Linked DNA regions of Cricetulus griseus. The protein of the gene in region 2 purifies or fractionates together with the protein of the main gene of each other region. This does not show direct contact. Links are inferred from orthologs where the notes say so. Each region holds a gene or a part of one and is shown on either strand. Other genes may lie near its edges.

Region 1 (7,946 bases), on a different chromosome or scaffold from region 2:
GATGCAGAGTCCAGGTGCTCACAGGACATGGATGAAGGGGATGGTGGAACTCTGACCTACCATGTGGATGTGTTGACAATAAAGGAGTCTGATAAAATATAGATTATGGAATAGCCAGGACTTGGGCATCAAAGGTGTAATCTCAGGTCAGTGGTACCCTACCACGAAATCTCAACAAGTCAACTTCTAGTCCTGTTTTCTCTTCTGCCATCCCTAAAAGAAGTGCTGAGAGTTCTCAAGTGCTAGAAGGTATGACACCTCACTGGGTCCTGTGGTGACAGGAAAACAGGAGGAACCAGAACTAGGGATTGTTTGCCCCTGCAGGTGATCTACGTTGCCCGAAATCCAAAGGATGTGGCTGTCTCCTATTATAACTTCTACAACATGGCCAAGGTGCACCCTGATCCAAATACCTGGGATATCTTCCTGGAGAACTTCATGGCTGGGAAAGGTGAATCTGAGTCTGTACCAAGGAGGGGGCTGGAGCTGAGGGGCACAAGCTGGTGCTAACAAGGACTGTGTCTGTACCCTGCCCTCTTCCCCAGTGTCCTATGGGTCGTGGTACCAGCACGTGAAGGAGTGGTGGGAACTGACACAAACTCACCCTGTTCTCTATCTCTTCTATGAAGACATGAAGGAGGTGAGACTGCCTGCTACCACTTCCTTCTGTGTCTCACAGGCAGGAACCTCACTCACCTGGCCGAGCCCCATCCCTATCCCAGCCCCACCCCAGACCAGTACCTCCCATTACCTCCTGGCTCAGGACCTCAGCAGAGGACATTGCACAGCTCTTATCTTGGTGCAGTGTCAGTCATGTGCCATTATTGATCTGGTGGCTTGCTGCTCTTGCTTCTCCCTGCTCCAGAGGTACCAAGTATGGGTACCAGAGATCAAAGTCTGTCCCTGTCCTCTGCCAAAATGAACCCACTGGGATCATGCCAAGATGGCAGGGTAGGAAACTACCTATTTTGCATCAGGGTAAGAGACTCAAGAGTCAGGGCATCAGGTCTGAAAATTTCTTGGTAGAAGTGGCCCGCTCCCTGTGGGTGATCCCCCAACCTTATCCCAAGGAGTACCAAAATTATCTCTATGCTCCAGAATCCCAAAAGGGAGATCAAGAAGGTCCTAGAGTTTTTGGGACGCTCTCTGCCTGAGGAGACTGTGGATATCATTGTTGAGCATACATCCTTCAAGAAGATGAAGGAGAACCCCATGGCTAACTACACAACCATCCCCACTACAGTCATGGACCATGATATTTCTCCCTTCATGAGGAAAGGTAGGTAGTAGCTTGGATGGGTATTTGGAGGATTTGGGGAAGGGAGGTTGGATGCAACCAACAAAACCTGAAGTCACATGGGTCCTGTAGCTGGGACTCTACACAGTCTCTCTCCCTCTTCAGGTATCACTGGGGACTGGAAAAACACCTTCACTGTAGCTCAGAATGAGCAATTTGATGCCCACTACACCAAAATGATGGCAGGCTGCAACCTCAAGTTCCGTTGCAATCTGTAAGTGGATATGGCTATATTGGGAATGAAGGTAAGCTGACATAACCCATTATGACCTCAAGAATAAAATATGATGTATCCAGTTGTATGACCTCAAGAATAGAATATGATGCACCCATATTGTATGCCTACAGGAAATCTGAGCTCAGAGAATGAACAGGACTTGGGTAGTATCTGAATGAAGAGGGTTTTACCAACACGTGTCAGGAAAGCAATTGATCCGTGCACTGAAAAGGAACCCAAGCATGCAACAACAGAAGACATAAACTGTATTTTACCTGAAAGAATAAATGTCACTGGGAGCTGACTGGGCCTTCTCCCTCCTGCGGCCACCAATCCCATGTGCCTGATGGAGGAGGGCAGGGAGGTCTGAAGTAGTGAGGCCCAGGAGACATGGTGAGAGGGAAGAGTATTTATTTTATTACAGGAACTCGTTTGTTGCCTTCTCCCATGAGGTCGGCAGTGGCAGACTCAAGCCAGCCAGCCAGCTTCACTTTTTCTTGGGCTCCTTACAAGCCACCACGTACCTCTGGGCCACATTGAGAGGAGGGGAGTAGCCGTCTGCATAGGAAGTGTCTTCAAACAGGACTGAGTAGTCATCCTGAGGCTGTAGAGCACACACAGGAAGGGCTGGTCAAGATGCTTCTAGGCCAGGGCAGCCCCTCCTTGCCCAGAGCCCCAGATGCATCTCCCTGCCTGCCTCTCCTACTTTCTTCTCTGCTCTCAAGTCAAGGGGTCTGGTGCTACTGGGAAAGCCTATGTTTAGGAGATGAAGGACAACAAGAAGGCAGCAAGCAGGCAAGCTGAAGAATGATGGGGACCAACCCTTAAGGTTCTGGTGTCATCAAAGGCCTTTCATGTGGCTCCTTACCCGCTGTGGGGGTGTGTGGATCAGGGCACGGTAGAAGCAGGTGGTCTGGGGATATAGGGCCAGCACCAGCTGCTCCTTCTGAAACAAGGCCTCAGGGTCTGTCTCAGGGTTAGCTTTCCACTGGGGCAGTGGGATGATGCGCCGCCGACTCAGGGTGTGTCTCCTGGGGGAACAATACAGGCCGTGACCAGGAGGCTTCTCCCAGAAGCTTGGTGACTCTCCACTGCTCCCCACCGGGACACTCACTCTTTGCCTTCTTCATCAATGTCATCTACCTCATACCTGTGGGCAAACAAAAGGGAAACAGTTCTGGGACAAAGAGCGGTTTGCATCCAAGAGTAAGGCTGAGAGAGGGTGAAAAGGGGATGGAGAAGCTCGAGAGAGCACCACCCAGCACCCTTTGGGGGGAGTTTTCCTCCCATGCTGCAGAAGCTGGAGTGGTGAGAATGCAAGGTCAGGCACACACTCACTTGTTGGTAGCATGGCTGTAACTGACTACTTCAGCTAGGATCCACTGCTCATCCCCATCCACAGCCTTCACTCTAGCAGCCACCTTGTCTCCAGGTTTGGCCACATAGTCCCCTGAGGCTGGAATGGCTCCACAGAGGGGTGGGGGCCTGTGAGAGAAAGCCCGTTAGTCTGGCTCCCTGTCACCAGCCCTCTCTGGCTAGTTCCTGCCCTCACTTGTCACCAGGCTTCCCGATCCAGAGGGGCAGGGTCATGGCTGACTGCTGCAGCAGTGTCATCAGCACGCCTCTGCGCATGGTCTTCCGTGGGGGCTCCGAGTCATTGTAGAGACCTGCGATCTTGGCCGCTGTGGGAAGCAAGTGAACCCCTGAGGCCAAGTGGATGGTGTCTGACCCAGTCACACCCCAGCAACTGCTCTGAGTTGGAGCACTTTATACCAGGATCCCAAAACCATCCACACCCCTTCTTAAGGTCAGGAACTGACAGCCTAACTCAAGTGGGTGAGATGTCAGGACAGTGGCCACCATCGTGGAGTGGAACTAAAAAGGAGGGTTTCCAGGATATAGGTTATATTATGTCTCCTGACCAGGATGCTGGATATATAAATGTGCTGGGTCAATGAAAATTCCTGGAATGTATCTTCTTTCTACTAGTGTATGTAATTTCAACAAAAGTTGCACAAATTATCTAGTGTGGATCCTTGGTCTCATCAGCCATGGCTCATCACACTCTTCAACTAAAAACAAAAATGGTACCATGATGGTGATATGGGGTAAAGAGTTGCATCTGGGACAAGACAGAAGTCAGGAAGCCAAGGCAATGGCACCTGAGGAACCTACAAGGTAGGGGGCTAAGCCAGCTTACATGTGGCCACCAAAGCATGCCACAGAGGGAGCAGCGGTAGGAAGGAGAGAGATGACCAGCCCTGGCTAGAGTGAGCAGGGCAGTGTGAGTGGTGGGACAAAATTTCCTGGGTCTAGGCAAGAACTAAGCAAACTCTCTGCCTCTGAGTCTGTTTCAGACAGCTCTGTTGGGTGACCCCACCAACCTATGTCCCATATTCCCCTGCCAAGGCTATGACTGCTTCCCCCCAGCCCCCACCTGGCCTGGTCAAGAAATACCCTGCATTTTCTCCCACTCACCTATCCGCCTCTCTTCCAGCAGAGACTTGATCTCAGCTATCTTATCCAATGCTTTTCGGAGGATGCTAGGCAAAGAAGGGAGAAAAGAGTGCTGGGTGAGGCACTCAGCGTATGCTTCTTGGCGATCTGGACTCCCCAGACCAAGTCTATGCTGAAAACTACAGATCCTGTTGCGTGTGGTGGCTGACACCTGTCATCCTACCGTGTAGGAGGCTGTAGTAGTCCTGGAGTGAGTTTGATGCCATCTTAGCTACACAAAGAGCTCCGGGTTTGCCTGGGCTAGAGTGAGACCTTGCTTCAAACAAAGAAGGAGAGGCTATAGAGATGGCCCAGTGAATTAAGTGCCTGTTGTGCAAGCCTGAGCATCTGAGTTAGATTCCCAAAACCCATCTGAGAGCCAGACATGGTGGTGTGTGCCTGCAATCCCAGCACTGCATTACTGTGGAGACAGCTGGGTCTTTGGAGTTCACTGGCCAAACAGCCTAGCCAAATCAATCAGTTCCAGGTTCAGTGAGAAACTCCGTCTCAAAAACTAAGGTGGACAATAATCAAGGAAGACATCCAGTATCAACCACTGCCTTATACATGCATTCTCACCCATGGGCATGCACACTCACATGCCTGAGGACCTACACAAATATAGGTACATACTTCATAAACATATATATACCACATGTATACACAAGATAGTAATAAAAACAATGAAAAAAATAAATGAAACTATAGCCCCTAAATAGAAATAGGCACTACCCCTGATATCTCAGTTAACAGGTCTTTCTATGCCACAATCCTATGACAGTGGCCCCACAGGATTTTACTGCCTCATGGCACCACTGCCAGCTTAATGTCACAGTGAAACATATCATATTCTCTGCACTGACAGTCACATATATGCAGGGCATATACAATCATATACACTCAATCACACTTGATTATAGTAATGACCATGCCACTGATTTAGAAGTTTACTAAGGCTGGACAGATGGCTCAGCAGTTAAGAGAACTGGCTACTCTTCTTAGGGTCCTGAGTTCAGTTCCCAGCACCCACATGGTGGCTTACAACCACCTAGAATGGGATCTGATGCCCTCTCCTGGCATGCAGGCATATAAACAGATAGAGCACACATATACATAAAATGCATAAATACATAAATAAATTAATTAATAAAATTTAGCTGGGTAGTGGTGGTGCATGCCTTCAATAACAGCACTTGGAGGGCAGAGGCAGGTTTATCTCTGAGTTTGAGGCCAGATTGGTTTACAGAGCAAGTTCCAGGACAGTCAAGTCTACACAGAGAAACTCTGTCTCAAAACAAAACAACAACAACAAAAAAACCAAAACAACAAGCTGGGCAGTGGTGTCACACACCTTTAGTCCCAGCACTCGGGAGGCAGAGGCAGGCGGATCTCTGTGAGTTGGAGACCAGCCTGGTTTATAAGAGCTAGTTCCAGGATAGCCTTCAAAGCCATAGAGAAACCCTGTCTTGAAACACCCCCCCCCCAAAAAAAAAACAAGCCAAAAACCCCACAAAACTTACTAAATTATACTTTTGACAAAATACATTGTAGCTACATTATGAATTTCATGTTCAAGGAGTGTTTTTATTGTTTAAGAGGCTACAGTGAGTGTCAATGCATCTAAGTTTGTGTCATTGCTATGACATTCATAGTGGGATTCATTGATGACAGATCTCAGAATATTAACTAACCAATGATTTTTCAGTGCTCAGGATGGAACCAAGGGTCACCTGAAAGCTAGGCAACTGCTCTAAGTGACATCCTCAGCCCGGTTTTTCAGCTGTAAAAGCATAAATGGCAATATGGTAGCAAGTGGCAGGACAACCCCTTGAGAAAGTAGGTGCACTGAGAGGTCACTGGTACTGCTTTGCCCTGTCCTGTAGAAACCCTGCCAAAGCTCTGACCCCATCCTGAGATGACAGGAATGGAAGTTCAGATCTGAGTATGCCTGGCACGTCTCTAATAGATTCATGTGCTTGAGCAGGTGGTCCTTAGTTGGTGGAGCTTTTTGCAGAGTTGTGGATCTTTTAGGAGGTGGGGCCTTGCTAAAGGAAGGGCTGGTGAGAGGCAGGTCTTATGTGTTCTGACCTGAGCTCTCCACTTCCTCAGTACAATGCAATGTAAACAGCAGCCTTGTGCTGCTGCTGCTGCTGCTGCTGCTGCTATGCCTTCCCTTTCATAACAGACAACCTTCTCAAAGCATGGAGCCAAAATAAACCGCTCTTCCCTTAAGCTGCTTTCCTCTGGGAGTTTTTACTACAGTAAGAAGTAAATAACAGGGAAGCTCCGGGGCTGTTACAGGTAGCAAAGGGAGAAGCAGAACCCCAGGGGCCTAGAGAGACCAGGCAAGCTCAGAGTATCCCCTGTAAGACTTCCCCAGTCCTGTGAAGTCCTGCAGCCAGAACCTCCAAAAGTCAAATTTACAGAGGGGTTTCAGGCTGGCAGGCAGGCCAGCAGTGGATATCACTACACAGGTTCTGCAAGTCTCCCAGAAAAGCTTCAACCTTAATCAGCAGGAACAGTGCCACTGTGGGTCATTTTATTCTGTTTCCACAGCAAACCCTTAGCAAGGGAGTGCTAAGACTCAAGACAGTGAGGCACCCAGAAAGCAGACAAGGAATGACAGTCAGGAGGCCAAAGATAGTGTGGAAAGGCTGATATTGCTGTTGGGCCTATTTAGAGGACGTAGTTTTATGTCCTACATTCAAAGTTGCAGTTTACATGACATCAAAAGAAACAGCAACAACAAAAACCATCAAGAACTCAGCTGGAAAAATCACCAAGAACTCAGCCCCATGCGCTTCAGGAAAACAAAACAAAACAAAGTGATACTCAAACTAATTGGTGACATGAAATGGGACATTCAAACAGTCACAAAGCATCTCCCCACAAGACACTTGCTCATTATACGCAGAAAACAGAAACCTGGGAGATCCCACATCAAGTAATGACACATAGTATCTGGCCTTCTAATAGAAGGCTACTTCTGTGTTACCAAGGCCTGAAGTGTCAAACTGGAATCTAGAAGCCAGGAAGCACTAAATACACCCATGGGAGGGACATGCTACAGAATAACTAACCTATAATGGCTAAGAGAGATTGAAAACTGATCAGATCAAAGAAGACTGGACACCAATGGAGATCTGAACTAGAACAGGGAGGGCCTCTTTCATGACGAAATATGAATAAGCTCTCTGAACTGATATCCTAATTTACAAACACTATGGTGTTTATTACTTATCACCCAGATGAATTCAGTAAGACCCAGTGGGTTGGGTTTGTCTGACCTAGATGGAGTAGCTTCATCTCGCTTGCTTGCTTTCTCTCTCTTAACTGCTGGGTTGGGAAGGTCTGGTTGGTGTTTATAGGGTAACAAAAATTTGAATTAGCAAAAGGATTTCAATGCAGGCCTATGTTTACCAAACAGGCTTCTAAGTGTTGAATGCTGGGTAAGACATGCCAGAGGCATTCCATACAAGAGTCTTCACCCTGCCAGCAGTTAGGACAGAAAGGGCAGTTTACTGTTTACTTTCAAATGAAGATCTGGGGGCATAACTCAGTGGTACGGAGCTTGCCTACTATACACAAGGCACTGGGTCCCATCCTCTGTACTACAAAAGAAAAAAAGAAAAAAAAAAAAAAACCAAAAACAACATAAAACCCAGAAAACCAAACACATGCAGCACTGACTTATGCAAGCTACTCTAGCCCAGGTGAGTGGGAAGGGCTTAGGCATTCCTAAGAATTCATTTTGTTTCTTCCCCAGGAGTAGAGCCTATTCTTCTGTTCTGTGCCCCAGCCTCACATGGGGAGCCATGCCAGACCCCTTCATCCAACTAGAAACTCTGCCATCTTGAACCTCCCTTCTGCCAACTAGTTCCCTACATAGATCTCAAACACTGCTGTTCTTGAACTGGGTTTTGCTTTCTACTATGT
Region 2 (8,441 bases):
CAACAGATGATTTGTCCTGGAGGTTTCCAAGTGCTGATGAGAAGAATGTGGATTCTGCCTCAGTAAAATGTTCTGTAAATGTCTGTAAAGTCCATTTACTTTACAATTATGATTGAACTAAGATATTTGCTTGTTGAGGATCTGGAGAGACAGCTCAGTGACTAAGAGTACTTTCTGCTATGCTGAGGACCTGGGGTGAAGTTCTTAACACCCACATAACCATCTGTAACTCCAGTTCCAGGGTTGTGACACCTTCTTCTAGACTCAGAGGACAGAAGGCACATACATACACATAGGCAAAACTTTCATACACATAAAATAACAATGTTTTTAAGATTTTAAAACTCTCGTCATCGCCCATTGACAAAAGTGGAGAGGTGAAGTCCCCAAAAAGTATTGTATTAGAGTCTATCTCTTCCTTTGTGGCTAATATAAAGGAATGCCAGGATGGGTAAATGTAGATATATTGTTCCTTCTGGCTGAATTTATCCTTTCACTAATATATAAGGAGCCTCTTTGACTTTTGGCAGTTTTTTTATTTAAAGTCTGCTTTGTTCTAATGATATAGTGACTCTTGCTAACTTGTTTTGTATTTGTTGTCTATCCTTTTCCAATCCTAAATCTTTACTGGTGAAGTAAATTTCCTGTAAGCAGTGTATAGTTGATTATTGTATTTTTAACCCATTCTGCTATTCCCTGCATTTTTGTTGATGAATTTAACCCATTTATCTTTGTGGCTATTATTGACAGACATGAAATTTTTCCTTTTATTTTATTCAGTTATATTCTGGGTTTGGGGTGGTTTGTTGTAAATTATTCTTTTCTAACCTCCTTCTAGTTGTTTGTATTGTTTGGTGGATCTGTCACACTGAAGTTTGATTTTTCTTCTCTTCTGTGTTCTACTACTGAGTTTTTAATATTTGTGGGTTTTTTAGTTGTTGCTTTTGTTTTAAAGATCTGTTTATTTATTTTATGTTTATGTGTGTGTCTGAGTGTACACACGTGCACCATGAACATGCAATGCCCTCGGAGGCCAGAAGAAGGCATCTGATCCCCTGGAGCTAGAGTTACAGGTGTTTGTGAGCTGCCCCACGTGGGTTCTGGGAACTGAATGCAGATGCTCCAGAAGGGGAAAGTGCTCTTCATCAGTGAGCCGTCTCCCCGGCCTGAGATATTAGTGGTTTCACACTGGTAATTATCACACTTTTGTTTTTCATGAGTGACTTCCCTAAGTGTCTCTTGTAAGGCTGACCTAATGATGGTGATTTCCCTCAGTGCCTGCTTCTCTGAGGAACATTTTGTTTCCTCTTCATTTCTGAGGATTATTTGGTTGGGTATAATATTCTTAGTGGGCAGAGTTTTTATTTTTTCTCTCAATATTTTACATATGCCATCCTACCCTCTTGTGACCTATAACTGATCTGTTGAATGATCTGCTATAAGTGTAATGGGCTTTCCCTTTTCTATGACTTGATGCTTTCCTCCTGCTGAATTTCGGGATTCTCCTGGTCATGTACTTTTAGCATTAGATTACAGGTTTTAATTGAAAATCTATTTTCTTTAAATGCAATCAGGATCCTTTGAGTTTCTTTATATTTGGGTGACCATATCTCTTTGAAGAGTTGGGTCTTCTTCATCTATTATTTGTGATAGGTTTCATGTTTTTTCACTTTGTGAAATTCCCATAGTACAGATACTTGTTTACATAAATGTGCTCTAAGTTTTGTGTGCTTTCTTCATCTGATTTATTTTGTTTTGTTGAGATGAATAAGTCAATTCTAGAGTTCAGAAATTTTCTTTGTTCTGTTTATTCTTTTATGTAACTTCTCTGCTTTATAATTAATTTCATTAATTAAAGTTTTGGCTCCAAACTTTCAGGTAATTCTCCTTTATAATTTCTATGCTTTGGTGAATTTCTCATTAGTATCCTAAGTTATTTTTAAGATTTCTTCATATCATGCATCAGTATTCTCTTTTATCTAGTGAGTTTACTTAGGGTCATTAAATTTGGAATTTTTTTAGGGGCTAGTTGTATTTTCTTTAAATTGGAATCTATTGTGAAGAACAACTATTTCTTGAAGTATCATGCTTCCTATCATGTTATCAGCATTCCTACACTGATGTCTGTGCATCTGGCTTTACATTTGCCTCTAATTTTATGAAGCAATTCTTCTAGGGAGTTTTGAGATTTTGTTTTGTTTTACTTCTCATTTAAATGGGATGTCAGATGCCAGATAGATCAGTGCTATGAGTTTGGTTATAATGGAGCTCCAAACATCTATGTCATTTCTTTGTCTTTGATGCCATCCATAGTCTAAACTATAGCTGCTCATAAAACATTTTATGGATGTAGTTGTAAAACTTAGCAATAAACTTGCTTCCAAAGGTGTGTGTCTTCAGACTTTGCAAAATCAAACACTGCTAATACTAGGACTTGTGGTGGCTGTTGTCATACCTGGGAGGAATCATGGAAGACACAAATGTTTATGGTATCAATATTCAGAGTCTCCAAGTCACAGTATGTGAAGGACTCTCAGGATGAGTGTGGGAGATGTCACAGCTTGTGTCCTCTGAAGCCACAGGAAAGAATTGGACTTTCCCCAGGTCCCACAGGATGACCACAGATGATGCTGGCATTTATGGCACTAGTAACCAGGGGCTCAAGATTGTACAACACAAACAAGACCTACCCTAGGTCCTGCATGTATCTTGGGAATGGGACTAGTAACACTGTTAGACACCTTTACAGAGCCATGGACCATCTCCTGGCCCCAAAGGATGTTCATAACATCATCAGGGTTTTTGTCACCAGCTATGGTCCAAAGGCAGTGGACTGTGGAAGAAATCACCCCAAGGTCTCCCAAGACAGACCTATGCATGTAACATTTGGGCTTATGACAAATGTATCCACACATCTGGAGACATAAGACACGGAGGAGACCTTCACTAGACCCCATGGGCTGAGCACAGTAGTCTGAGATGTGTGGCTCTGGTATCCACCCTACTAGAGCATAAGACGAATAGGCTTGTCCTCAGTTTACAGAGACAAAGCTCAGCTGGGGACAAGGTTTGAAACATTGATAACCACAGCTCTGTATCTGCACGACATGGCTATGACCTGCCCGTGGTAGCCAGGAACAGGCTGCGGGCTGGGAGATCAACCTGCCCGACTTTCATCTGTATATACACAGAGGTGCTAGAGGTTGGGCTGCTAGCTGCTACATTCCTGGAGCTGTGCAATGAGCTAGAACCTTCCTGGATCCCAATGGAGTTTGTAGACAGGCCTGGAGTTTACAACAGTAGCCATAGTCCCAATGCTGTGGGTTAAAAAGACCTTTACAAGGTGCCATGAGGCAAGCAAGCATGGACTCAGACTTATGACTGTCACAGTCTATGGTCCTGAAGCTACAGGACACTGAAAGGACTGTCTTCCACCCAGTAAAAAATACAACAGCCCAGGTCCTCTTATGGTGTCAGGGGATTGGCTCCTGGCCCCTAAGGAACATTGGCATCTAGCCATATGCTTCTGTGGCACTTTGAGTTGGGGAGGGAGGGCGGGTTAGGGAGTTCCGTTTTTGGGGTCAGAGCAGGTCTTGGCGAGGCTGCTATTCCAGGAGTTGCTGCCTCTTCCCACTTCTCTGTTCTCACCCCTGTCCTGGAGGGGTTGAAGGTGCACTTTTACTTTCTTCTTTTCTCTAGCTCCTTGCTGATTTTCAGAGTTTCACTCTCTTCCTGACTCTTAGGTGGCACAGCTAGCTATGCACAAGGATGTCTGTTCTGCCATCTTGGCTGCCTGCCTCTGTGATAACTTCCTACAAGATGACTGCTGATAGTAAAGCTCTTGTGCTGAAAATGCAGGGACTCCAGGCTAGCCCCAGACTTGCTGGCCTCAGAGGGGCAAGAGGCCCTATTATGAGGTTTTTGTCATTTGCCCCTTTTTCTAAAAACACATTATCAAATAATTGAAGGCTTGAATGTGACTTGCCAGTTAAATGATATGTTACATGCCAGTGAGGGGCTCTTGTTCTCTGTCCTTACTCTTAGTTGTGCTCCTCTTCAGCACAAAGTAAGATTCAAGAAGTCATGAGAAGTCATCATTGGCCTGCTCTTCCCATTCCAAAATGCAAACTCCTCAGCAGGAGATAAAAGACAGTGTTACCTTCCTGACCTGGAATACATTATTGCAACCAGTGTCTGGTTTTGAAAGTGACCATTTATCCTACCATGAACATCTGTATGTCTGCCTCCATGTGCATCTACAGATAAGCTGTACTGCCAGTAATGTGCAGTGTGCCTTTAGATCGCCACACTGTGGAGAGGACGAAAGGCCTCCATTGGTGTCCGTTCCCACAGCCTTCCCCTCCAGACTATAAACCAGGCCTGGGAAGACAGTAGTGAGTCAGTAATTTATAGACTATTACAATGCTTAGTTAGAGCTGACTGTGGAGCATGTGGAATAGAGAACACATGTTTCCAAAAGACAAACAGACCCAGCACAGCCCTTCCTTGGCTGAACCAACAGCAATCCATTAACAGGACAAAATGGGATGCCTTATTTTGCATATCACCCACTGCCCCAAAATAGACTCCCTAACCACTTGTTAACCACACTGACTTAATAGACAGAATGGTCGCTAGAGTTGTGCCACCGGAACTATTCATATTAAGCATCCTATTAGCTGGCAGCCAGCAGTCTACAAAACAGGAAGAAAAGCCTCTGCTCCCTCTGCTTGTTGGACTTGATGTGATAATTCATTGCAGATTCCTTTGTCTTTGACAGAGTGCCTACCGAAGGAGTGGGATGGCTTTCCTGGCCTGCTGAGGGGACCATGGCTGTGCCTGCTACAAGAGAGAAAATGGTGCACCGAGGTCATTCTTCCCTGCCCTGGCTGAAAATAAAATATGAGTTTACCTTCTCCTGCCCTAGGGAGTGGCCTGGTTTGTTGACTCTCAACTCTCTGACTCCAGTGCTTCCCCAGCCTCCTTAGCTTTGTTTACTGAATGGGCCATTTGCCTAATTAATGGCAGGATGTTGGGGATGGTGTGTAGGTGGACAAGAATGCACATCACACAATTTTGAATTTTGAATCTGGCACAGATTTGCTGCCCTCGGCTCATAAATCTTAAAAGCAGGGTTGTGCTTTTTTTCCCCTCCAGTGTTTAGTCTGTCTTTTATATGATGTATTTTTGTGATTCAGATTTGGGGCAAAAGAGACAAAATGAGTCAGTCTTCCATTGACCCACCAATTGTACTTTCCAGCATTGTTGATAGTCTTTGTGTGTATTTTAGAGACATAGTCATTTTATAAACATAGACCCATGGAAAATTCACCTGGCAGGACAAGCCACCTGTTCCCCTCTTCTCCCGTCACCCCACTCACTTCACGGAACTTGTTTCATCCATCTTCACTTACCCTCTTTTCCATTGAACTCCCCCAAGCCACCACACACTCACACACACACACACACACACACACACACACACACACACACACACACACACACTCACACTCACACACTCTCTCTCTCTCTCTCTCTCTCTCACACACACACACACACACATACACACACACACACACACACACACAGAGAGAGAGAGAAGAGAGAGAGAGAGAGAGAGAGAAGAGAGAGAGAGAGAGAGAGAGAGAGAGAGCTTCCATGCCCTTTCAGAAGCAAAGTCAAAAGCAAGAGCAAAAGGATTCTTGGATTCACTGAATCCCTTGAGAGCTCTCCCTCTGGTCTGGAACCAGTTGATACACTGCCTGCTGGGAGCTGCTGAGCTGCCCTTCTGGCGTCTGTACTGTCTCTAGTAAATGAGGAAGTGTAACTCTTGGGAACAACCCAAAATGTAGCAGATGCAATGGTATAGTTCCTGATTAAATATGAATTGCAAAGGAAGAAGTTATGTCTTTAATTCTGTAAGAGTTTCGGGTCGAAGAGAGAAATAAGAAGAGCAGACGTTTTCTGTGTGAACAAACCCTTCTGAGTCTCAACATACTGTGTCTGTGTTCACCACTGTCATTTACCTGATGCATACTAATCATTCTTGGGGTAGGGGAAAAGTGTACATGGTAGGTAAAATGCAGATATTTAATATCAAAAATTGCCAAAGGGTTTTTGATGTTCTCCCCATGCCCATTGAAAAGTATGATTAAACTTTTCTTTTTATCATCACTCTTATTTTCCTTGGCATCCCTAATCATGGAAAATTATAACCCTGCAGTAAACATACTTACTTTGGAAATGGCAGCATTTACTGTATTTGGTTTCCATCTGCCAGACTTGTAGAAGATCTGAAATTTTCAGGGGCTAATTTTTCCTATTGAAAACCCATCTCTGCCCCACATTATATATTTGAAAGTAGCACAAGGCAGAAAATGCAAGGCTTTGTTTTCCTCCATCATCTTATTCTACCTAATCTCCTTATAGTCCCAGGGAAGGAAGACTCAATGTACATTTCTCTCAGAAACACGACAGCTCTGTGTTTTTGTTGGTCTGGTGTATGTTTGTCTATCTTGAACCGTCTGACAGGTAATTATTTATAAAATCTGGTTTTGCCCAGCAAGTTCACATAATACCTTTCACTTTTCATCATAAGCCAGAAAGCTGAATTTAGAATAAAACAAGGTTTGTGTCTGTCCTGAGCCAGCCTAGATGTGCTCACAATTGCTCAATATTAACATTTTAATTCTTTTTTTCTTTCCTACACTCGTGTTCTTTCCCTTACCCTTAAAAGAAGACTATATTTGAAGAAAAAAAAAATTTCTGAACAGTTATTTAGATAAAATTCAACAGAAGGAAACTCTCAGAGATGACACTTCAAAAAAGAGCCCCTAAGATTAAAGTGCCACATGTTATCACAGTTAGAGAAGATAACTATGAGGGTTGTTAGGAACTGTCACACACTTGATAGATGAAAAAGAACCTGGCCTAGTTGGGAAGTGACTATCCTGGATCACTAGGTAATAGCGGGAAGAGACCATGCATGATAACCTGCGGCCCCTAATTCTCAGCCCACCCCACACTTCACCCCGTATTTACATTAGAATAGTACAGAGATGCACCATATTTATCCCACACAATAAAGGAAAACATTTCTTAATGATACTATTTGTAGATACACCTACAACATAAATGTGAAGTCATAATAATGAAATCTTAATGGACACTTAAATGACACTTTCTATACTTGGGGCTCAACTCTAAATCATCTATGAATACAGAGCTTCTGTGTGAGTTTTTATTATTGGTGTTAATCCCTTGTATTTTAGAGAGCAAACTTGAAAATAAACCCACAAATAATAAGGAACTTTTCTTCTGGGAAGTTGATGCTGCTCCCTAAGGATAAAGGAAACAAAAATACCCCTCCTCCCACCTAAGTTTAGAAGTGTGACTTTTTGGAACTGCCCTTTAGAGGCCATGTCCTTGACCTTTTCTGCCTTCATACATGATAATAGTTGAGATTCAAAAATAATGTTCCAATTTTAGGGACCAGGGTTTTTAATTTAAAAACCATCAGAAGTGTAAATATTTTCAAACAGTCTATATTGTTCCTGTGTCACTGTCTGTTTTTTGTTTTTAAAAAATAATAACCCACATTAAATGTTATACCACATAGAAGATAAGTAAACATAACGGGTGATCTGTGGTCTGAAAGAAAATAAGTTTATTTGTCTAGAAATTATAAAGTTCAAACTTTGAATTTTTTCGATATAATTCCAAAATTGCTTTCAGGCTTCTATAACCCCTTGTGTGAAAAATCACTAGAGAGTATGTACTCTCATCTGCCCTCCTGGACCTCAGATAACGCCTTCCCAGGTTGCATTTTAAGTTCTCCCATCAGCCATGTATACATCTCATAAAATCTTTTATGGTTTCCTGCATGCTCTGGCTGAGCGTTTCATAGTACATAAACACTTCTACAAATAGTGTAAGGATGGCGAGTGGAGTGTGTCAAAGCAGTACCTCCCTCCATGGTCTGAGTCCCCAGCCATGTTCTGTTCCTTTGGAACACAAGCTGACCTCTTCTGTGCTGTTGCACAGTGGTGAGGAGCAGGGGACTCCAGCAGTTTCCGTGGAGTCGTGCTCATTAAAAGAAAGTCTTTCTTCAAGGGCATCCCGCCAAGCTCAAGCAACAAAACCATGCTGTTGGAGCTGGGTGTAAGTGTGAAGGTTAAATAAAGGTCAGATGCCCTGGAAAACTCAAACATCCAAAGTCGTATCTCTTAAAGTGAGTCTCAAGTGTTGTGAGCAGGACAGTGGTACCATGGCGGTGGGGGGGGGGGCTAAGTATGAAACTAAATATCAAGCACTGAAATTGTCCTAACTCGTGGAAGCTCTGACCATTGAAGAATCATTTAAAATGGTCAATTCCTTTAAGGGAACAAGAACACCGCATACAAGTGGCTTCCATTCTGTCAAGAGCCTTGGATTCACGGTCC
Region 3 (7,946 bases), on a different chromosome or scaffold from region 2:
CCTTCCTTCCTTCCTTCCTTCCTTCCTTTCTCCCTCCCTCCCTTCCTCCTTCCCTCCCTGCCTCCCTGCCTCCCTCTCTCCCTCCCTCCTTTCTTCCTCTTTTATTGTATTAGCTGAGGGTTGCGGGTAAATAAAAGACAGAGGGAGAAGGAAAATCCATTTTTTTTTAAAGCTTTAGGGTGCTCTGGGATATTCTGGATGGGGTGGGGTGGGTGGGGGATTGAATCACACTATGTCATCAGGTTGGGCCCCTCAGGTGACAACTTGCTTGAGTCATCTGATTGCACCCTGGCAGATTCAAGTTGTTTCTGCTTTGGAGAAAGATCTTAGTTGAGGGAGAACAAGGTCTTCATAGCTGCAGCTGCTATTTGTCTTGGAGCAAGTGCCTCGGCAGCTTTTCCTGCCCTGCCAATGAAGGAGCTGGTAGGCTTTCCATCCTGTAGGCTATGTGGCTTGCAGCCAGTATAGCAAGCCAGCAAGCATTGCACTGTGATCTTTGCTCCCCCCACCTCTGCTTCATCCAACAACAGTACTTGCTTCTAAAATCAGAATCCAAGATAGCCACTGCACTCTCTTCTCTTCCAACAACTCCTTTTTCTTCTTTTTTTCTTTTCCTTTCTTTTCTTTTGATTAGGTCTTTCTATGTAGTCCAGGCTGATCTTTTTGCTGTTGTTTGAAACAACATCTTTCTATGTAACTGTGGCTAGCCTGGAACTCAGTAGGAGTCATGGGCTAGCTTTGAAATGTAGCAGTCTTCCTGAATACTGGGTTGGTAGCATGAGCCATTATGCCCAGTTTTCAGCTCCATCACTTCATATTTCATTGTCTCCCAGTTCATCTCAAAACTGAATATTCCAGTGGCTCAAGCTCCCAAGTGGCCAACTGAGAAAAAAAACTATTTAACTCTGAAATTGCTTGTTTGTAAAATCCATGATTACTGTAGTTTTGTTTTAAGATGGAGTCTCTTGTAACTTCAAACTAATTATGTAGGTGAGGATGACCTAACCCTTTTAGTCCTCAGAGGTGCTGGGATGCCAGGCAGGGCCATCCCAACTGACTCAGGATTAATCTTTATCATGGGGAACACATGCAATGGTTACTTTTATTACAATTAATTTTTGTGAAGTTGGACACAAAACATTGAAAGGATCAGTAAGTGGTTCACACTCAAAACTTACATGGGACCCTGAGAGGGTGACATACTCCTTTTCTGTCCCTTTACTGTGTTTGCTCTTTGGAGGCTTTCGATTCTAGAACAGGAATTAAAAGTAGTATATTTGGTTGTAGGTACTGAGAACACCAGCTCGATGCCAACAGATGGAGAAGTTCAATCTCTTGGATTTGTCAGTTTTGTTAATACAGAGAATAGTTGCTCTCTTTCACTTCTCCTGGAAAGGCAGAAGTGGAGAAAAGAAGGAAAGGGTAAATAGATACATGGCCTACAGATGAAGGACGCTATAGACGATTTCAGTTAGGAAGAATTTCAGTGTCTTGTCTTTTTCAGAGTTGGAGTTTATTGAGAAAAAGGGCTGGCAAGATGACTCAGTGAGCAAAGGTGCTTTCATCCAAGCACGGTGATTTGTGTTCAAGTCCCAGGAGTCATAGTGTAGAAGGCCAGAATTGACTCAAGTTGTCCTCTGACTTCCACATACACACTGTGATTCATGCGTCATTCACATACATGCATGCACACAAATATATATATAAATAGTTTAAAGAAACTTTATTTCTTTGAGATGTGGCTTTATTCTATAGCTGTGTTTGACCTTGAATTCATGGCAGTCCTCTGGTCTCAACCTTCCACACACTGGGATTATAGGTGTAAGTCACCACATTCAGCCAGAGAAAAAGTGTTTCAAATAGATTTAAACATAAGCATCAGGTGGGGGGTGCGGGGGAAGAAGGGGCAGTTGTTCACAGCTGAGTGTAGATTTCTCCAGAGTTCTTGGCGTTGAATTCATCTTTACCTTAGTTCTGGTAAATGGCTCTGTCCCTTCTCTGTCTGTTTGCTCTTTGGAGGCTTTTGATCCTTGGACAAGAATTAAAATTAGTGTATTTGGTTTGTGGACACTGAGCACATGCACCTGACACCTACAGATGAAGAAGAAATGGAAAAAGACAGAAGTAGAGAAAGCTCCCTCCAAGCCCCTGTGCAGCCCATGTGTACTAGAAACATGGGCTGCACAGCTCCTTCAAAGAACAGTTGTCTCTAACCTAATTTATGCAGAGCGGATCCTGACTTTTATAGTGGCCAAGACTGAGAGCTTCATCTACCTCTGGTGGCCTCAATGAGTCTAAACAGGCCTCTGGGTCCCTAGCAAGCAAAAATGAAGGGGAAATGGAGGGTAGAGTGTGGGGATAAGTGCAGAATAATCCAGGCTGCTCAGAATTGAAAGGTGTCTAGCTCTGTTTGGAGGCATGAAGGCAAGTTTGTGGTTTCTTGAAGTTTATGTGTTTCACTTAAAGGTTAGTTCTTATGAGACTATATAGTTGGTGACTTTGCTTAATGGTTAGGTACATGTGAGGTGGGAACTGGAAGGAAAGGAATAGATGTGATGTGGGGTGTATGTGTTTGTGTGTTTCAAGTGCCAGTTAAGTTGGTACAAACCAGTAATCCCATCATTTGGGAAGCTAAGGCTGAGAAAGAAGGGCCATGAGTTTAAGATCAGCCTGGACTACAAAACCAAAACCATAAGCCACATACCCACAAGCATACTATAAAGAGCCTTTCAAACTAAAGTTTGTTTTTAAAATGATTTCTTTGCAGCTCTTGAGAAAGTCTATTTTACAAAGAGGAAAACCTGTGGTTGAAGGCTCACTGGAGAAGAAGCCCCCATTTGAAAAGCCCAGTATTGAACAGGTAAACATTTTTGAGGATCTCTTTTATATGAACTTGAGGCTGAAGGGCCCCTCCCAGTTTTGGGGTGCTGGGGCTCACACCTGGAACCTTGTAAATAGTCAGCGTACACTGTTAAGCTACATTCTAGCTTGAAGAACTTCGAGCTTCCTTTCACATTTCTACATAGGTCTTGCATCCATTCCCAGCCAGCTTCAAGGGTTAACACAAAGACTATAGAATCACTTAGGATATTCTGACTCCCACAATCATGCCCACTTGTATCAATAGTCTGGCTTTTGTCTTAGGAGTGTTGTGCACTTAAACTCCACTCTGTATGTAGGGACAAATGCATAGAACATGTAGTTGGTAAGAATTCATAAAATGTGCCTTTTATTGCTCTTGATGTTTTAAAATTAAGTCTTTGTTTTTTTATTTGGCACTGTCTGAGAAACCTTTTGAGGAGAGGGCATTCATTAATGATATGGAAAACACTGTATGGGGGGGGGTGGTCAGTCAATTCTCATTCCAGCTTTGTTTCTCTTGCTGGGAGAAGATACTTGGTTTTTAAAAAAGCAGTTTCAGAAGAAAAAGGGGTTTTATTAGGCTTACAGTCCAGGTTGTAATCATTCATAGCAGGGAAGTCACATGGCAGGAGCTCCACAAAGTTCATCAGGCCATATTCACAGTCAAGAGAAGAGAGAAACCATGAGGGCTTGCTTGTGTTTAGTTTGGTTTCTCTACTCTTATAAACATCAGTCCCTCAGTCATAGGGAATGGTGCCATCTGTAGTTCATCCCATATCAATAAACTTGATTATGACCACCCCTGAAGACATGTCCAAAGGCCAACCCAATGTAAACAGTCACTCTTTGGGTCTTCTTCCCCAGGTGACACCAGGTTATATCAAGTTGACAGAGCTAACCATCACAAAATGATACCAGAGTCTTTATAAATATTTTTTTTTTTTGGGGGGGTTTCGAGACAGGGTTTCTCTGTGTAGCTTTGGAGCCTATCCTGGCACTTGCTCTGGGGACCATGTTGGCCTCGAACTCACAGAGATCTGCCTGCCTCTGCCTCCCAAGTGCTGGAATTAAAGGTGTGCACCACCAATGCTGGCCATAAATGATTTTTTGTAAGTAAGTTTTCCGAAAGAACAAATTTTTGTTTTGCTTTTCTCTTCCTCTTTTTTTATGTGCTTTTTCTTTTCCTTCCTTCCTTCCTTCCTTCCTTCCTTCCTTCCTTCCTTCCTTCCTTCCTCCTCCTCCTCCACCTCCTCCTCCTCCTCCTCCTCCTCCTCCTTCTTCTTCTTCTTCTCCTGCTCCTCCTCCTCCTCCTTCTTTTTGAGACAGGGTTTCTCTGTGTAGCCCTGTCTATCACGGAACTCACAATGTAGGCCAGGCTGGCCTCAAACTCAGAAACCTGCCTGCCTTTGCCTCCCCAGTGCTGGGATTCAAGGTGTGTGCCACCACCACCCAGCTGAGAATAAGTTTCATCATGTTGAGTCTAAACTAATAAGAGTTATTTTTTTAATGTGATAAATGGGAGTATACTATAGAAAATTTAGATTAATCTACAATTCTCTTGGAAAAGTGCACATTTCTGAATGTTTTTTCTTCCTCTGATAGTCTTGCTAAAACCACAACAGTGTTAATTAAGATGTAAATTTTAGTGTTTAGTTCAATGAAGGATCAGGTAGCAAAGTTTTAAAAATTTCACAGATAGAAACATTTATCCAAGAACCTCATTCTGTATATTTTCTCATTTAAGGGGTTTTGACCCTTCCCATCTGTGTTTTTCCCTCTGATGCTCTAGGATTCAAGTGGTAACAGAATCATAATTCTGTTTTGTCACTTTTTCTATCACTGTGACCAGAGGGGGGATTTCCCCTGGTAGTACTGTTGATTTTGAAGGAAGGGGAAGACATGTTTGTGGACTGAGAATTGTCTGTTCCTTTGCTAATAACTACTGAGATAACTGGGCATGTTCAGTGTTAGTGTGGTCATATAGCTACATGAACATGCTGCCTTCCATTCTTTTCAGGGTGTGAATAACTTTGTACAGTACAAGTTTAGTCACTTGCCATCAAAAGAGAGGCAGACAACAGTTGAGCTGGCCAAGATGTTTCTGAACCGAATCAACTACTGGCACCTGGAAGCTCCGTCTCAGCGGAGACTACGGTCTCCCCATGATGACATCTCTGGATACAAGGAGAACTACACAAGGTAATTGAGCTGAGGTACTGCACTCTGGCTCCAAACATGAAACTACTATTTGCCTCTGCATGGTAGGGCTGTCCACCTACTCAGAGAACATCCCTATGTAGTTTAAAATTCAAGTTCTCAGCTATTTATTTATTTACTTACTTTCTCTCTACCATGCCACTTGTGTGGACATCAGAGAGCAAGTTGTAGGAATTTGTTCTCTCCTTCCACTGTGTGACACAGAGGAATGTAACACAATCCTCAGGTTGGCTGGCATATACACTTACCCATTGAGCCATCTCTCTGGCCCTGATAGTATTTTGGATATATTATACTAAATAAGGTTAATTGAACTTGTACTTTATATTTTTTCAGTGTGGCTACTATCTAATTTATGTGCCGGTGGCATACACCTTTAATCCCAACACTTGATAGGCAGAAGCAGGTAGATCTCTGACCAGACCAGCCTGATCCACTTTAGTGAGTTCCAGTTCAACCAGAGGTATCTAATAAGAACCTGCCTCAAAGGAAGGAAAAATATAAGAACTAATACATACCTTGTATTTTTAAAAATATTTAACCTTTTTGTGTTAGTTTTAATGAGAAGGATATAAAATCACATAACAAACTAGACATGAAGGATACATTAGAAAACAAACCATTTGGCACATTCAGTATTCAATACAAATATAGTGTTATTTTTCTTAATATATATATATGTATATATATATATATATGTATATATATATATATATAGCTTCTACTCTTATTTAAAGTATTTTTTGTATATTGATACAAATTTAAGGTTATTTTGTTATATTGTATATATGCTTCTGTTTATATGTTACTGTATATATGTTATTTAAGGTATTATACCTATGCAGCTCATTTAGAAATGTAATGTAAAGTTCTAGTCCTTGAAAGTTATTATGGATAACTGAAGATGGACGTTTCTCTTTTGCCTGGTCCTGCAGCTGTTTAGTCCCAAATAAATACACAGAGGCTTATATTAATTATAAACTGTTTGGCCAATGGCTTAGGCTTCCTATTGGCTAGTTCTCTCTTAATTATTAGCCTATTCTATTAATCTATGTATTTCCACGAGGTCTTGGCTTACTGGAAAATGTCTAGCATCCTATCTTTCTGGTAGCTTCATGGTGTCTCCCTGGAGGCTTCTCTTTGCGTCCTCTCCCCAGAATTCTCCTTGTCTGATAGCCTGCCTATTCTTCCTGCCTGGCTACTGGCTAGTCAGTGTTTTATTCATCAACCAATAAAGAAACATTTATTAACAACATACAGAAGGACCTCCCCCATCAGATAATAAGAAAGACAGGTTAACAGTTAATCATCTATGACAATCAAACTTGTAGTTTCATGGTTAAACTGAATATTGTAGATAGACAGGTGGTCTCCAAACACTTCAGAGACCTACAGAATATGACATTTAAGATGTTTTAATAACCTAAGGCTTTTTATGACACATCTGTTTCTGGCAGTACCAGTCTGCTTCATAAAAGTATTGAAGAACGTCCATATGGAGTTTACTTTCATTGTGACAAAGCTAGCCATTTATGCAAGAAACTGCCCTTGCTTTGACGGCTGACAGAAAACTGTACAAACTGGACAAGCAGACACAAAGGAATAAGACTGCCGAACTTTGCCAAGACAAGGTGGTACAGTCCTTTAAATTTCCCGCTTCACAGAAATGTCTGTCAGAATTCTAGGCCTGTAGGCTGAAGATGGATGCCGCAACATTGTAGAGGAGCCTTGGGTGATTGTCCAGATAGCCAGTTGTTGCTGTAATTTCTATAGTTTTCAAAGATGCTTGCTTGGCACTTCCTGTTTACTCAAGTAGTATTATATCCTTCTTGGGTCTCTGATGGAGTTGAAGATGAGATAGTTGTTACAGTTTTCTTTGTTACTAAATTCAAAAAAGAATCTCACAGGAGAGGTATAAACTGTACAAGGCCGAGAGACATAAAAGCTTGAATTGTTTAATCTAAGAAAATGTTTTGAGGTTAAAAAAAAATAGTTTGAGGTCTAAAAAATAGACCCAATACAAGTTAGGATAAGAAGTGAATTAAATTCCCAATTAATTTACTTTATGAAGTGTACTGTCAAGCCTGGTTTATGCAGTATTGAGGATTGAATTCTGGGCCCGCATACAAGGCAAGCAATGTGCCAACTGTGTTGTAACTCCGGCCCTGTTTTCTTGTATTTTAATGTCAACTCCAAAACAGTGTCAGGATAATCAGAGTTGCATGGAGTTGGACTTCTGATTACTCAGGTTTGTCACCAGCTAGCTCATGTGTTTACATTTTCATAATTAGTTATTGAGCTGGCTTCCTCTCATTCCCCATTACTCTTTCTGACTTAGTTATGGTTCTATTGCTGTGAAGAGACATTTGACCACCGCAACTCTTTTTTTTTTAAGTAATTAATTTTTATTTTATTTATTTATTTATTTATTTTTGAGACAGGGTTTATCTGTGGCTTTGGAGGCTGTCCTGGAACTAGCTGTTGTAGACCAGGCTGGCTTCGAACTCACAGAGATCCACCTGCCTCTGCCTCCTGAGTGCTGGGATTAAAGGTGTGCACCACCAATGCCCGGCTAATTTTTGTTTTTTAATTTTACATATAAATCCAAGTTCTTCCTCCCTCTCCCCTTGCCTTCCCCTCCCCCCACCCCCATCTGCTCCTCAGAGAGGATATGACCTCCCATGGGGAGTCAGTGAAGTCTGTATCATCACCACGATGAGCCCTATTTCTAGGCTGAGCAAAGTATGTCTGCACAGGAAATTTGCTCCGAAAAGCCAGTTCATATACTAGGGATAGGTCCAGGGCCCTAGTTATGAAGCCAGTGGCCTCATAAACAGTCCACCCACTGTCACCTGCATTCAGGAGTC
Region 4 (7,946 bases), on a different chromosome or scaffold from region 2:
GGACTCCCCGCCCCCTCCTGCGGCCCGGGGCCTGTAGGAGGCCGCAGAGAGGAGGTAGGAGAGGCGGGAGCTGTGTTAGGGGCTCCCTAGAGGACGAGGACCCTGGAGGCGGGATCTTGGGGCGACACACAGGTGGAGCCAGCCATTAAGCAGTCCCACTTCTGTGCCAGGCACTGAACTGGGCACCTGAGAAGCATCACCTCTTAATCCTCAGAACATTCCAGGGAGGTAGGTACTCTTGATGCCCCCATTTTACAGATTGATACTTTTTAATGGGGAAACGGACCGAGGCATCATCTCTTGTCCTGGAAAAAAAAAAAGAAAAGAAACTAAGATTCAGGTTAAATAACATGTTTAGAGGGGCACATAATGGGCTGGAACTTAGTTCTGTCTGCTTGACCAGCTCGTGTTCCAAACTAGCTAGGGACGCAGAGAGGTACAAAAGTGGAATGAGGAGAGGCTGGGTGAACCCTGTAAGATAGAATGCTTGAAAGAGCCCAACAGAGGGCATAGGAAGACAGGGCACACTGGTATCTCTCTTGTAGTGCAGGTTTGAGACTTCTTGGGTTCGAATTAATCATGCAGGTTTGTAAACCTAGTTACTAGGGAGGCTGAAGCAGGTGGATCATAAGTGCAAGCAAGGCCTGTCTGGACAACTGAGTGAGAACCTGTCTCAATAAAAAATTGATGAAAGGGGGCTGAATGTAGCTGTTTGGAGACTATGTGCCTACATGCACTGAATAAGCCAGGTGTGGTTACATGCCTGGAATCCCATCACGTGGGAGGTGAAAACAAATATTCGGTTACTTAGCAAGTTTGAGGATGGGAAGTCAGGTGTGGTGGTATACACCTTTATCCCAGCACTCTGGGATGTAGAGGCAAGTATAATGAGTACCAGGCCAGCCAAGACCACATAGTGAGACTTTGTCTCAAAAAAAAACAAAAAAACAAAAAAAAACCTGAAGATAACAGCATGTGTGAGACTCAGGTTCAGTCTTAAGTGCTACCAAAACAAAAAAGACAATGAATTGCACTTAGGAGTCTGTTTCCTTTTTCATCAAAGGAAGAAAGGAAAGCATGAATAAAGCCCATCCCCCAAGGTTGTGTGTATAATTCAGTGAAGTAAGCCCCCCTCTGTACAATCAGGGCTCTATGAACAGGAACGTTGCCACCATCCGTATCTATAAAGGTATTGAATCCTGGTTTCTTTGTTGGACCTCTCTTCCATGCTACTTTGTCTCCCATCCAATGGCCTTCTCTCTAGTTTTACAGAATCCCATCTCCTGAGCCATGAGTGAACTGAAGGACTGCCCATTGCAATTCCATGATTTCAAGTCTGTGGACCACCTGAAGGTCTGTCCCCGGTACACGGCAGTACTGGCCCGCTCCGAGGATGATGGCATTGGTATTGAGGAGCTGGACACTCTGCAGCTGGAGCTTGAGACCTTGCTGTCCTCTGCAAGCAGGCGGCTGCGTGTACTGGAAGCTGAAACCCAGGTGATTCTCCAACAGAGGGGACATCACTAGAGAAAGATTGTGTCAAGTTATGGGATGGCTCATTAGGTTAATGACCTAACATTGACACTATATGTTGAGGATATGGATGGGAAGAGAGACCCAAATGGGAATTGTGACAGCAGAGTTAGGTCCCAACGCCAGGGATGCCATCCTACTAGACTTCAGAAGATGGATTCTGTCCCCTTGTAGTCCCTGGAATTCCCTGGGAGCTTTCTGAGATATACTGTGACACAGTCAGTTGTTTGTGTAGACAGGGCTCCCAGGAGGGTTGATGATTGAAATGAAGGTTAGCTGGGAGTCTTGTTGGCCATCACCAAAAAACCCACCACCAGCAGCATATTTCCCAGGACTGCTGCTATGCTCTGGGGCATAACCTTTTTAAAATTTGTTTTGTTTTTTTTTGAGACAAGGTTTCTCTGTGTAGCTTTGGAGCCTGTCCTGGAATTTCTCTGTAGACCAGGATGGCCTTGAACTTTGAGAGATCCACCTGTCTCTGCCTTCTGAGTAATGGGATTAAAGGTGTGCACCACCACCACTGCCCAGCTTTATTTATTTATTTATTTATTTTGTTTTGTTTTTCGAGACAGGGTTTCTCTGTGCAGCTTTGGAGCCTATCCTGGCACTCACTCTGGAGACCAGGCTGGCCTCCAACTCACGGAGATCTGCCTGCCTCTGCCTCCCAAGTGCTGGGATTAAAGGCATGTGCCACCAACGCCCGGCCAGCTTTATTTTTTTTTAACCTTTCTACCAAACAGTCTGTGGCTAGCTTGGGTAACAGAGGAGAATGAGATGTAGACCTCTGGTTCGATGCATGTGAGAAAAGTCACAGAGAAAGAACTGGATAAGTGCTTTACTTAATAGCCTCCAATTGGAGATCTCAAGTCATCCAAGTGGGGAAGAGGAGCTTGTCTCTTCTCTCCTTCTCAGTGACTGCCTTTGTGTGTTTCAGATCCTTACTGACTGGCAGGATAAGAAAGGTGACCGACGATTCCTGAAGCTGGGTCGAGACCATGAACTTGGTGCTCCCCCCAAACATGGGAAGCCCAAGAAGCAGAAACTGGAAGGGAAGGCAGGGCATGGACCAGGCCCTGGCCCAGGACGACCCAAATCCAAAAACGTTCAGCCAAAGATCCAGGAATATGAATTCACTGATGACCCAATTGACGTGCCTCGGATCCCCAAGAATGACGCTCCCAACAGGTTTTGAGCCTGAACACATAGAACAGAGCTAGAGGGGGCTTAGGGACTGGTGGTGTGGTCTTAGAAGACCCAGGGCTAAGGCTGAAGGAGCCCAGAGGTGCCCACTCAGGGTCTGCTTCTCCCTGCAGGTTCTGGGCCTCTGTGGAGCCCTACTGTGCGGATATCACCAGTGAGGAGGTACGAACACTAGAGGAGCTCCTGAAACCTCCTGAAGATGAAGCCGAACATTATAAGGTAGAAACCCTGAGCCATAGAACCCTGAGTTATAGAACAGGAGGGCTCAGAGGTGCCTCGGAATCCTAGGCAGCAAAGTCCACATCATCTACTTCCTTCCTTCCCAGCCTCCTGCCTGCTGCATTACCCCTGCAGACACTGAGGTTCAGCTTTCCCTTGCTACCCCCACCTCAGCCAAGTGGTGCGTCTGTCTGTCAGTGAAGTTCATCCTGTCCGCTTGCCTTTATCCTAAGAGCCTCTGAACATGCTCCTTGCTTTTAGACTTCAGCAACCGATTTCTTTCTGTACTTAATATATAAAAGTTAAGTTCCTGTTTCATTTCTAAGACACTAGAACTTGCTATGGTGTCCAGGCTGACCTTAAACCCTTGGACTCACCATCTCCCTCTCAGGTCCCCAGGTGTCTGGGACCACAAACATAACATCACTATACCTGTCTTAAAGGTTTTTGGTTTTTTTGAAACTGGATTTTATATATCCCAGACTAGCCTTGAACTTTGTGTAATGATGACCCTGAACTTCTGATCTTCTTTCCTCTGACTCCCTCATGTTGGGATTACAGGTATGTAATCCCAGTTTTGCAATCCTGAGATAGAGCCCAGGGCTTTGTACATTCCAGCCAAGCTCTCTACCAGCAGAGATACATCCCCAGCAAGATAGTTTTATGTATCATGAAAATAAAACATGTTCCATAAAAGAAAGTGGACCAACCGCGTGAGGAGGAGACTCTACCACATGGCAACTCCCACCTTGGCTGTGCTGCGTCTAGACCTTCTCTAAACCTTTTAGCCACAGGATGGAGGCCAAGTGTCTCAGTGCTTGGTGACACCCCAGTTCCCCTCTCCAGTCTTCCTTGGCCACACCCCTCTTTCCTGCTGCATTCATCAGCTGTACCAGACATGTCTCCCTCCCACTGGTCTCACCAGGGTCTGTGCCCAAGCTCTTCTCAGCTTGACAGACTGCCTCACTCTTCAAGGCCTGAGCTCATGCTACTGCCACCAAAGATGCCTTTCCAGACTCCTCAGCAGAAAGAGAAAGCTGGGCCTAGTGGCTCACACCTATTGCACTTGGGAGGCTGAGGCAGGTTTGAGGCTAGCCTGTGCTTACAAGTGTGAGGCCCTTTCTCCAAGAAGAGTAAAGGAAGTGGTCTCACTTGGTGACCCCATGGTCTCTTGGCTGCTTTTAATGCACTTACCTGAATTTAAAAAACAAACAAACAAACAAAACATTTATCTGAGGCCAGAGATGCAGTTAACAATAGAGGTCAGTGGTAGAGCAAATGTTTAGCATGGACAAGGCCCCAGATTCAGTCATGACCTAGAGAACTACAGCAACCTGTAATCTCACTTCTTGTCTCAAAGAAAGAAAGAAGCAGGGAAAAGGCAATCCATTTCAGCTGTAGTAAGTTTAAGCATTACACACACAAAATAATAATAATAATCCCTTGGACCCTAGTTCTTTTTAGAAGAACTACCTGTGACAAAGAGGATCCATAGACACAGCATTTTATACTTTATATCTTTTTGTTGTTGGTTTTTTTTTGTTTTTTGTTTTGTTTTGTTTTTTCTGTGTAACTGCTCTGGATGTCCTGGAACTCACTCTCTAGACCAAGCTGGTCTTTGGACTCAGATCTGCCTGCCTCTGCCTCCTGAGTGCTGAGATGGAGGGCATGCGCCACCACACTGGGCTTATACTTTATGTCTTCATTATTGCGTATCTGTTTCTAGGTGTATTTTGATTTTTGTTTTGTTTGTTTGAGACAAGATAGGGTCTCAGCCTGGGCTCAGACTCATGACCATCCTACTTCTGCCTCCTGAGTGCTGAGACAACAGGTGTGTGCCACCATGCCTAGCTGCTTTCGTTATTTATATACCTTTTTCTCCTACTAGAGTGTAAGTGCAGAGATTTTATCTTCTTTGCCTTTTGTGGCACCACCCTTGGCCTTGGGCTTGGGGCTTGGGCAACAAATAGGTGAGAAAGAAACAGAATGAATAGAGAGTTTACTACAGTATCCCATACCAGGAGAGTCTCCCACACTCCAGGCAAAGGTGGCCAGGGTTTACCTCTTAGAATTGAATGGCCTCTTTGCTGCAGATTCCCCCACTGGGAAAACACTACTCCCAGCGCTGGGCCCAGGAGGATCTGCTAGAGGAGCAGAAGGATGGGGCTCGGGCAGCAGCTGTGGCTGACAAGAAGAAAGGCCTCATGGGACCGCTGACTGAACTGGACACAAAAGGTGAGTCCCCAGCTCCCTGTCCCCCTCAGGCCGGGATCTGAGTTCCCAGAGCTTCAGGCCCCTGCTGTCTTCTCCCTATCCACTGCAGATGTGGACGCCCTGCTGAAGAAGTCTGAGGCCCAGCACGAGCAGCCAGAAGATGGCTGTCCCTTTGGTGCCCTGACACAGCGCTTGCTGCAGGCCCTGGTGGAGGTGAGCACTCAGTTAGACTGGGAACTACAAGCTAGGTGTGGTGGTGTATGCTTGTGATCCCTGCAACACTTGGGAGACAAAGGCAGGAAGCTCGTGAGTTCAAGTGCCACGTGTATCCATCTCAGAAAACCAACACACACATGCACACACCACACACACACGCACTCACACACCACACACTCACACACACACACACACACACACACACACACACACACACACACACACACACACACACACACACACACACACACACACACGCACACACGCGCATGGTTGTTAGTGTTTTGATGTTTTGCTTTTTGAGATAGAGTCAAACTATGGGCTAGAATGTACAGTCATTTTCCTGCCTCAGCCTCCCAAGTGCTGGGATAACAGATGTAGGCCTTTGTGGAGCATTGGTTAAGGAGGATTTCATGCATCCTTTCACTGAGGTGTGTGCTGTGTTAGCTCCATGTTGCAGGTGAGGAAACTGAGGTTTAGAAAAGGGAACTTTTCTTAAGACTACCAGCTAATAAGTAAAGGTAGGATTTAAGCCCACCCTTGAAGTTTCCCTCTTTATGCCCCTGTCTGGCCTTGGAAATGCCCTTTTATGTCCTTGAGCTTCAGTTTCCTCCTTTGTCTCTAACACAATAGTTTTTCTCTCAGGGAATGGTCTGGGGCATGCATTCCATTACCCAGACTGAGGTAATGGGAAGGGGAAGTCTGGCTTAGTCCAGCAGACTCTAGTTTAGTGTGACTTTTCATCATGACCTTGGTCTTACCGCACCAGGCCCTCAGAAATTGAGTAAGGAGGAGTGTGTGAAGGAAGTGCCCTGGGTGTGACTGGGAGCCTTACCTTTTTAGATCACTTTCCAATGAAGAATTTGTCCCATGAGTCCATCTGACTGCAGTGGAGCCTGGGAAATGTAGTGTAGCTCAGCTGCTGTGGAGGAAAAAACAGTGCTAGGTTATTTCCTTGTCACTGTTTCTCTTGTGTCCCCTTCTTTTGCTGTCCATATTCCCCTCCCCTCAATAAAAGAATTTCTATAATGATCAAAGCTTTGGAGGAAGCTTTTTTTGTTTTTGTTTTTTGAGACAGGAGCCTGTCCTGGAACTTACTCTGTAGACCAGACTGGCTTCGAACTCACAGAGATCTGCCTGCCTCTGCCTCCTCAGTGCTGGAATTGGAGGAAGCTTTTTAACATGAGTGGGATGAAAAGATGGCAGACTATTTCTATCTAGCCTATAAAGACTGTGTATGTCAGAGAGGAGCATTAAAACAGGGATTCTATTGCTTCCTCCTTCTAACCTATCTCTGGTCTTCAGGAAAATATTATTTCCCCTATGGAGGACTCTCCTATTCCTGACATGTCTGGGAAAGAATCAGGGGCTGATGGCGCAAGCACCTCTCCCCGAAATCAGAACAAACCCTTCAGGTGAGTGACATACCATCTGCACTCTGGGCGTGACTGTCAGCTTCTCTCTGTCTTCTTAGGGGGGCATGCTTTGTAAACAGAGGCTGGGGCCATTTGACCATGCACAGACATCTGGCTATACAGATGTTTGCACAGCACATGGAAGTGCTGGCCTCGATTCTGGACAGGCTTAGTACAGACTTGATCATACCTTTGCCTTTCCTGGAGATAACCCAAGTGTCCAGCTGAAGGGAATGGCTAGTTGAGTGCTAAAACTGCATAAGAAATAACTTGTAACTGCTAATCATTACAGAAATATACTTGACATGAAAGAATTAAAACAGAGTACCAAATGGGGGGAAAGGAGTAATCCTATTTGTACTTAAACTATATTTAAGAGTTACATATAGTTTTAAAAAATCTTGGAAATATATATCATAAAAGATTGCAACTCACACATAACAAGGCCTGAAACATATATGTGTGGCTATATGGGTTCACCTTGCCAGACTGGGATCCTCTGAGGGCCCTCCAGCTGGCGCTCAGAGCTCAGGTGCTGGCCTTGCCTACAGTGTGCCCCACACCAAGTCCTTGGAGAGCCGCATCAAGGAGGAGCTGATTGCACAGGGCCTCCTGGAGTCCGAGGACCGGCCTGCTGAGGACTCAGAGGATGAGGTCCTCGCTGAGCTGCGCAAACGGCAGGCTGAGCTGAAGGCACTCAGTGCACACAACCGCACCAAGAAGCATGACCTGCTGAGGTGAGTGAGCACTGTGCCAGGGACTAGCCCTATCCCCCAGTTGGATCTCTGATGGATGCTAAGTCCAGGGACAGGGCTCTAGCACCCACAACTGACATATGGATGGGTCTGTGAATATGAGTGCAGGTGTCTGTGGTGTCAGCTGCCCTGCAGTTGATGAAGTTACTGGTTTTTGCCAGACGCCCAATGTAGGTGCTGGGAACTAAACCCCAGTCCTCTGCAAGAGTAGTACACACTTAACCACTGAGCCATCTCTTCAGCCCTGACTCCATTGATAAGCATAATTTAGTAATATTTACAGTGTTAAGTTGCTTTTGTTTTTTTTTTTTAAATGTGTGTTTTCTTTCTTTTTTTCAAGACAGGGTTTCTCTGTGTAACCTTGGCTGTTCTGGAACTCACCCAGTAGACCAGG

Evidence for each region. Proteins that work in one complex are often made in the same cells at the same time.
Region 1: the proteins of Supt3h (region 2) and Sgf29 purify together in Homo sapiens (affinity purification with mass spectrometry; 6 studies listed by BioGRID and IntAct, counting the BioPlex papers as one, with this or other methods). This does not show direct contact. The link is inferred for Cricetulus griseus from reciprocal best matches to the Homo sapiens genes SUPT3H and SGF29.
Region 3: the proteins of Supt3h (region 2) and Kat2b purify together in Homo sapiens (affinity purification with mass spectrometry; 7 studies listed by BioGRID and IntAct, with this or other methods). This does not show direct contact. The link is inferred for Cricetulus griseus from reciprocal best matches to the Homo sapiens genes SUPT3H and KAT2B.
Region 4: the proteins of Supt3h (region 2) and Tada3 purify together in Homo sapiens (affinity purification with mass spectrometry; 6 studies listed by BioGRID and IntAct, counting the BioPlex papers as one, with this or other methods). This does not show direct contact. The link is inferred for Cricetulus griseus from reciprocal best matches to the Homo sapiens genes SUPT3H and TADA3.

Annotation. Positions count from the first base shown.
Region 1 is NC_048596.1:74,075,440-74,083,385, forward strand, and holds the end of Sgf29 (SAGA-associated factor 29), read right to left. Parts: intron 4,058-7,946; coding exon 3,993-4,057; intron 3,197-3,992; coding exon 3,067-3,196; intron 3,000-3,066; coding exon 2,853-2,999; intron 2,665-2,852; coding exon 2,629-2,664; intron 2,546-2,628; coding exon 2,383-2,545; intron 2,119-2,382; coding exon 2,002-2,118; 3' UTR 1,909-2,001; downstream 1-1,908. Other genes in the region: sulfotransferase 1A1, read left to right, coding at 325-451, 546-640, 1,099-1,279, 1,403-1,515. UniProt on the Homo sapiens protein: Chromatin reader component of some histone acetyltransferase (HAT) SAGA-type complexes like the TFTC-HAT, ATAC or STAGA complexes.
Region 2 is NW_023276807.1:31,439,756-31,448,196, forward strand, and holds the end of Supt3h (transcription initiation protein SPT3 homolog), read left to right. Parts: intron 1-4,761; coding exon 4,762-4,893; 3' UTR 4,894-4,923; downstream 4,924-8,441.
Region 3 is NW_023276806.1:249,658,145-249,666,090, reverse strand, and holds part of Kat2b (histone acetyltransferase KAT2B), read left to right. Parts: intron 1-2,767; coding exon 2,768-2,860; intron 2,861-4,879; coding exon 4,880-5,061; intron 5,062-7,946. UniProt on the Homo sapiens protein: Functions as a histone acetyltransferase (HAT) to promote transcriptional activation. Has significant histone acetyltransferase activity with core histones (H3 and H4), and also with nucleosome core particles.
Region 4 is NC_048601.1:31,423,358-31,431,303, forward strand, and holds part of Tada3 (transcriptional adapter 3), read left to right. Parts: exon of another isoform or gene 1-170; 5' UTR 171-228; exon of another isoform or gene 229-1,264; 5' UTR 1,265-1,290; coding exon 1,291-1,497; exon of another isoform or gene 1,498-1,523; intron 1,524-2,467; coding exon 2,468-2,718; intron 2,719-2,846; coding exon 2,847-2,952; intron 2,953-5,045; coding exon 5,046-5,187; intron 5,188-5,275; coding exon 5,276-5,379; intron 5,380-6,217; exon of another isoform or gene 6,218-6,304; intron 6,305-6,687; coding exon 6,688-6,797; intron 6,798-7,348; coding exon 7,349-7,534; intron 7,535-7,946. UniProt on the Homo sapiens protein: Functions as a component of the PCAF complex. The PCAF complex is capable of efficiently acetylating histones in a nucleosomal context. The PCAF complex could be considered as the human version of the yeast SAGA complex.